2 linked regions of the Arabidopsis thaliana genome follow. The protein of the gene in region 1 interacts with the protein of each later gene in a pairwise test. Each region holds a gene or a part of one and is shown on either strand. Other genes may lie near its edges. The genes, in order: AT5G60142 and AT1G66420.

Region 1 (3,929 bases):
AGAAAGAAGGACTTGTGACATCTCAATTCTTGAACAAGAAACTTGAAACTTGAAAGAAGAATGAGATAGTGTTAAGTGGCAGAGTTCCAAGTATCTTAGTATTATTCTCCTCCTATGCCAATGCTTTTCTTATGATCACATAGAGAGTAATAACATTCTTTTTACATGAACTCGCAGGTTTTAAACAGCCCTGATGTGTGAACCATTCATAATGATTTCTCCCAAAATCTATAGCTCTAGTATACATTATTATTGTAAGACTGTGTTGATCGTCTTTTGCACTTCATGTTTCAGACAAACAAACAAAATCAAGAAGTGTATAGAAAGCATCAACATCGATTATGTTCCGAGAAAACCAATAAGATTCATAAAACCAAGTACTCTACTCATATAAAAACTCTCAAGTAAAAATAGATAATGTCTTGGAGTTAACGCATAAAGCCTTATCAAGAGATCATCCTCTTATAACATGGACCTTGATTTCTCGAACAAGACCATCCATCTCCTTTTCTAACTCACAAATCACCTTGTCATTCAACTTCACATTATTCCTTCTGATTATACTACGGAATCCCTTGATTGTTTGACCCTTAACTTTCCTCTTCAATTTACCAAAGTTTTTCTCGAGTGGATCAATCAAATTGATGAACTCAGGGAAGTGTAAGCCATACTTCGTTATGACCTTAGTTGGTATGCGCAGCTGCATTACAAAGATAACATCATAAAACAGAAGTGGTACATTATTTTAATGAAAATGCAAAAAGACATGAGACTTTCTTCACATTTCTTACCATATTATATTTTATTTGCCGATGCTGGTTCACTGTAAAGAAAGGGTTCATGTGATTATCCAGATATTGTCTGTCATGCTCTCCAGAAGAACCTATCAAAATTTATACGCAAGAAAATAAAAAGACAGTGATGCTCTCAGTCTCAGTTAACTTCACAAGACAAAAGTTTCTATTATACCTTTCTTTTTTTTCTCTGTTTTGACTCCTCTCCATCTTTCTTTCTCAACATCAGCATGATCATCGTCACCATAATCTTGATCATCATCATCATCATCATCATCAATAACTATGATATCTTCACTAGATGTATCTTCCTCAACATAATCTTGAACATCATTAATATCATCATTATCAGCATCATCAAGAGCTGTAATATCTTCACTAGATGTATCTTCCTCATTATAATCTTGAACATCACTAATATCATCATCATCAAGAACTATGAAATTTTCACTAGATTTAACTTCTTCCCCATAATCTTGATCATCATTAAAACCATCATCATTGTCATCAAGAACCGTGATTTGCACTGAACTTCTAAGCCTTTTACACGTTGCACGACCATAGATACAGAAATTGAAACACCAAGAGCCATCAAACTCAAATTCTAAGAACTCTCCACCTTTCAAATCTTCGTCCTTGACTATCTTCTTCCACCCATTAACCATAACAAATCTCTCACTATCACCACAAAACTTCCTAAACGCCACTTTCCAGATGTTTCCATAAATGCTTCTAACAATTACATTTTTAGGCAACGACTTTGGTAAAAAGCTGTTGAAAGAGATGGGTAATTCCTGAAGAGGAAGGATCTAAAAGTTTCAATAAACTAAAAATCTACATATAACCAAAAACAGAGAGAGAAGTGTATTTTTACCAAATCATCTCCGGAATCATCAGGTAAGTACACTTTGAAGAACTTTGGAAGACAATCATCCACAGAAATTCCTGTTCCAAAGCAAGAAAAAAATCAGAACATAGGATAGGTTATGTGATTGGAGAATCAAGAACAAACAATAGCATAAAGATCTTAACATAAAAACAAGAGTCTAAAGAAGAAACCTCTGTTCATCATCTTCACCTCTTTGAAACCCTAACTCTTTTAGTGAAAGTGAAGGTGAAAATGGTTCTTGAAAATAGAAAAGTAAAAGAGCTTTGTTAATAGATCTCCGATCTTTTGGTTTGCTTTAGAGATTTTGCCTTTTGTAGCATAACACAGAGACTGTATTGTCTTCTAGGCTTATTGCTACAAATGGAAAAATAAAACATGTGCTAACTACTTTTACTTCAATGCTCCATGAACCGAACCGATATGATTTTAATCAAACCGAAAAAATATTATCCTAACCAAACCAAACCAATAAAGGGTGAACGAGAATTTAAAATTCAAATAAATGGGCTTTAAAGTCCGGCCCAATCGATTTGCTTTAAATGACAATAATAACCTGAGATTATAGAGAACGTTGGTCCGATCTTCTTTCAATTTCAAGTTTTTCAACCTCTTCCCGCTTACGAGGCCGGGATATTCTATCAACAGTCGTCTCTTCCATCGGCCGAACAATTTCCGATTTACCGACTAGGATTTTCGCCTACAACTTCCGAAGAGATTTTCTCAGTGTAAGTTTGAAAAAACCTAGCTATAGGATTCCGGATTTCCTAATCGTCAGATCTTGGGCTCGAAAGAGAAGCTAGAAATGGATAAGGATCTCTTAGATATCTCTGGAGAAGACGACGAAGATAATTGGCTTCTGAAGAATACGCCGAAGAAAACTAATTCGAGCCGAGGAAAGAGTTATTTGAAATGCTCACCTCTCCAAATCCCTAGATCTAGTCGTATCGTTCCTACTCGGCCTCCTTTTTCCCCAATTGGTAAGCGCTTCAATTTCTCGTTCTCGATCCGAGCTTCGTTCTGATAATTTCTCTCTCCCTTTGTTAGAGTGTTTAAGCATCTGAATTAGCATTGTTTAAATCTTAATTTGATAAAATAGCAAATTAGTATAAATGTTGTGTATTCTGCGGATATATGAAGGTTAATACTTTTTGCAGGAAGAGTAACAGGCACCAGCAACAACAGGGAGCAGCCATGCGCTTCAGTTGATACAGATAGTGTAGGAAAGGAGAATGCTAAAGTTGAATTGCCCAAATTGAGTGTGGAGCGACAACAGATGAAGAAGAAGAAAAAGAATGCAGGGTTTAATTTGCGCAAGAGTTTAGCATGGGATAGAGCTTTTTCAACGGAAGAAGGTGACTTTTTTTTACCAATTTCCTGTTAGTAGTAAAGGTCAAAGATTTGGTCTATGTTACTAAGAATCTTAAGATGTGTGATATGGTCATGAACCAGGTGTTTTGGATTCATCTGAGTTATCTAAAATAACTGGAACTGCTTGCCATCTTGGTGGAGATCGGTTAGCTGCCATTCAGGAAGAGTACAGAGAGTCAATGTCAGCTTCCAAATGTAATGTTTCACCAGGACTACAAGCACTTGAAGAAAACTTATTTAACGACTTGCCTGTGAATAGTAAAAACAGAGAGAAGAAGCTTGTCAGTGGCATAATGCCCAAGTACGGATCACCATCTAAATCCCAATCTTCCTCGGTGAGTTTACTGGACCTAAATATTGTGGAGCTAATGAGGGTCATAAGTCGTTTCTTTCCTTGCGTAAATATATATATTTTGAGGCGCAGTCTATCTAAATGTCGAATATCTGCATTATAGGCCCAGAAAAAAGTTATCTCAGCTCAGGATTTAAGGAGTGGTTCCAAGCGCAGTGGCTGTCCCCGGCCTCCTCCTTCATCTTCATATCCTTTTCTTACTTTGAGTACTGAGTGTATAGGCAATCTTGATATCCTTTGCAGGTCTTGTTTGTGTTCTTTTTGCTTGTTTACCTTAACCATCTTGCACCCTGAAAAGACCTGCAAATGTGCATACAACAACATCACGTTGCAGGGAGCTGAGCATATCTAAAGTTCCTACTACCAAATCTGACCCAGTTACAGTTGGAAACAACATGAAAAGGACTACTCAAAGTCCAATCAAAGCGAAAAACAGTCAACCTACTCAATTAAGTATGTTCACTTCAGTTAGCAAATAAAAACTATTCATCTCATATCCTTTTTAGTTCTGTTACTTTTCATCCTG
Region 2 (3,671 bases), on another chromosome or scaffold:
ACTAATCAACCAAAAACATGACCATTAAATGAATCTCATAAAAACACTAGAATCTGAATATCTTTGGCTATGGAAAAAGCATGACAGGTGCTAAAACTAAACAGTATCTTTGAACTGAAATCTATAGCAATATACCTACTTAAACTACAGAAGAATGACACAAAAAGACGATTCAGAACAAGAATCAGGAACATGATATTCTGCACAAAGCTAGTAACATTTCAATATAAGTCACCTTCAAAGAAACATCAAAATCACAAATCCATGCTTAGAGATGGAACAAAACTACATCAAAAGAGACAATCAAACGATTCAATCAACAACGAAGTAACAATTCACCACACGAATCACCTGAATCAGAGATCGAATCTAGCAAAACCAGAGATTAGACCAAATCCAAAGCGTATCAAAGAATCAGACTCAAATATTTTCTGAATCTGAAGCTGATCGCAGACGAAATCGGAAAAAATGAGATCCGTTATGGTTTTAACAACGATCAAGAGAGATTTAAAAGAAGAAGATGAGATTGAGACTAACCATCTCCATCTTTGTCGAAGAGGCTAAAAGCTTCCTTAAACTCAGAGATCTGTTCATCAGTTAGCTGATCCGCCATAGCTTCTTCTTCTCGTTTCTTTGGTTTTTCGTTTCAGAGAAGAAATGATTTTTTTTTTTCCTGAAGTCTCCGAAGCTGTGAAAATATCTTAGCGACCGACAAAAACAATTATACGACAATGAGGAAAAAGTTAAAACGAAATTAAATGTTTACGGAAGATAATAATAATAATTTACTAGTTGGGTTTTTAGCTAATCATGTGATTAGTGGATGTGGGACTTGAGAGGAAGCCCAAAGGGCCCTTGGATACACATTAAGGCTTAAAAATGTTTTAATAAAACAATTTACATATTTAAAAAGTAATGATTTTTCAATTTTGAATGATAAATAAGACAATCCTCAATAATACAATAGTACTTAAGTTTTAAGCTGTAAGTTTTCCAAAATTACCATTGTTTTATTATTCAGATCATCATTTTATTTGACATCCCTGAAAAGCAAATATTTACTTTTGAGTTTAAAATAAAATTGTGTTTACTTAAAAACAGTTTTATCCTAAAGAGTAAAGACCTAATCTTATAGTAAAAGTTGACATTACTTACTGTATAATAAAAAAAGGATTGAACTAGTAGTTTCTAAAGATAGGAACAAAACAACTGTTCAATTTTCTTCAGATGAAGATTAAAATCTGTTATTATTTTAAATCTCGGGGACTACAAAATTTACCTCCAAATCTATGATTTACTAAAAACAAAATTAGTTAAGCCAACATTTTAACTAACCTAATACTATCATTTGAACACTTATAGGTATGTTAACTGATTTCAAAATTATCTATATACATCTTTTGTAATGGCATGTTTTCCATCAATGTGTGTGAACATTGAAAACATAAACTGTTGAATATCTAAGGTCATCTCCATTGGTAAGAAACCTTCAAAGTTTCTCAAAAAAAAAAATTACTAATATTTTATTATGACTTAATTTTGTAATTAATATATTCTTTTCTTTTTTTCAGTTGTCTAATTACTTCAAAATTTCTCTGCACAGAAACGTTTCTGTAATTATGTTATTCTCTCTCCTCCTTTATGAATTGTTTATATTATATTAGTGAAAAGCAACTCTCAAAATTGTAACCGATGGAGATGATCTAACCTATTTACCAAAAACAATTCAGACAAAATTTATTTTCGGTTTAGTCGTTTTTTTTCGTTTTCTTAATTTCAAAATAATTTACTGGGAAAAGAAAAAATCATCATTACGCTCATGTGAAAAAAGATCGTTCATTGTATGGGTTTTGGAAGTTAGAAAAGTAAGCAAGCAACTTATACCCTATTGGCCATTATATCTACCGAGAAACAACAAGCTCTTTAATTTATAAATTCGTGTAGTTGCCTTAAACAAACCCCAAGCTTTCATTACACACCACAACCAAAATCGTAGTTTGAAGATTCTGATATGTCAAAGAAGCATCTCAAGCCGTTGGAGACATGTTTTGAAGATGAAGAAGATGATGTTATTTATCTTCCTCCAGGTCTTGTGACCGGTGCAACTTCCAAGAAGAATGAGGAGTTTTGTGGCGGCTCCGGCAAGGTACAACCGTCTGAGATGAAGCGTCGGAGTGAAGGGACCTCAACGGACATGACTTCGAAGAGAGCCAAGAAGGTTTCAGCAGAAGATGAGAAGAAAGTTGGAGAATGGACAAAAAACCCATATTTTCAAAGACTGTGGAGTGAGGAAGATGAGATTGTTATGCTACAAGGAATTATTAAATTTGAAGATGTTACAGGGAAAAGTCCGTTTGAGGATAGACACGGGTTTATAGAATTCGTCAAGAACTCCATTAGCTTCGAGGCTAGTGTGCAACAATACATTGGCAAGATTAGCCAATTGAAGAGGAAATATACGAGGAAAAGGAAGAACGGTTTTTCTGAAGGTCATGAACAGAAATGTTTCAAACTGGCCATGTCTATTTGGGGAACTAAAGAAACGTCTAAGAAGACGGACTTGTGCTCTTCACCTAAAGGTAAAAAAGTTAAAGAAGAAGATGGAGATGTGACAAACTCTGATTGGTTTGAGAATTCGTTTCTACTTCCATCAATTGAGAGTCTTGGTGTGGATTCGGTTAAACGTAAATGGAATGTTGTGCCTATGGAGTTTAAGAAGAAAATTGAAGAGAGGTTGGAGTTGTTGGAGGCTGATGAAAGTGAATGCAAGAAAATGGAAGAGATGTTGAAGGTTAAAAATAGCGAATGCGTGAAACAAAAGACTAACCTTTTGAATGAGGTGATCGATGTGATGACTTGAGATTTTAGATATGAAGTTTAATGTTTTCTAGTGGTTTATCTTATGACTCTTTTATGTTGGATTATTTCTTTATATATCTTAGCATAAAAAAAGTTCATTTTGGTAGAAAACAGAGAAAAAAGGATTAATTAGTAATTACGCAATCTAATCAAATTTTAAAACTTGTGATTATGTTAATAGCGCTATAATTAAAAACTCTGATCCGTTTAAAATGAAAATGACTTTTCAGATTTCCTTTGGTTGCTCCGCTACTTCTCACTGTCGCTCTCTCAGCTTCCTCTCTCACAATCATAAAATAAAAAACAAAAAGTAGCTTCTCCAAGACGCGGTTCCCAATATCTGCGTTTCCCGTTTGCGTTTTCCGGCAATGGCTCTCCAAGCCACTACTACTACGTTCTGCTTCTCCGGTCCAACTTTCCGATCAACTCCTCACTCACTCACTTCAAAACGTCCTATCTCCATCAAAGCTACTACTTCTTCTCCTTCAAGACTCTCCAATTCACGATCTAATCTCAAAGGTTAAATCTCAAATAATTTCTCCATCACATTTTGGTTTTCTTTACCATAAATTCTCATAAAATGTTGAAATTGCAGAATATGCTTGGTTTATGCATTAATCTTATAGAATTTGTATTTTTGTATATTATATAGTCTTTGTACATGAAATTGTATATAGTTGTTGAGAAAGAGAATTTTGCTTTGTACTGATTCATACAATTTGTGTTCTGTTTTTAAAGGAAGAGCATTGTCTAGTGATGGTTCAACACAAGAATCTCCTTATGTAGTCTGTTTTGGAGAAATGCTAATCGAT

The links.
Region 2: the proteins of AT5G60142 (region 1) and AT1G66420 interact in binary tests that used the Arabidopsis thaliana proteins (3 or more experiments, as listed by UniProt).

What each region holds. Positions count from the first base shown.
Region 1 is NC_003076.8:24,215,726-24,219,654, forward strand, and holds AT5G60142 (AP2/B3-like transcriptional factor family protein), read right to left. Parts: upstream 2,025-3,929; 5' UTR 1,867-2,024; coding exon 1,854-1,866; intron 1,740-1,853; coding exon 1,669-1,739; intron 1,628-1,668; exon of another isoform or gene 1,589-1,627; coding exon 970-1,588; coding exon of another isoform or gene 944-969; exon of another isoform or gene 884-943; coding exon 792-883; intron 701-791; coding exon 455-700; 3' UTR 222-454; downstream 1-221. Other genes in the region: AT5G60150 (uncharacterized protein), read left to right, coding at 2,486-2,660, 2,838-3,035, 3,133-3,386, 3,507-3,589, 3,693-3,856.
Region 2 is NC_003070.9:24,775,173-24,778,843, forward strand, and holds AT1G66420 (DNA-binding storekeeper protein-related transcriptional regulator), read left to right. Parts: upstream 1-2,011; coding exon 2,012-2,860; downstream 2,861-3,671. Other genes in the region: CAM4 (calmodulin 4), read right to left, coding at 340-369, 538-613; AT1G66430 (pfkB-like carbohydrate kinase family protein), read left to right, coding at 3,228-3,378, 3,598-3,671.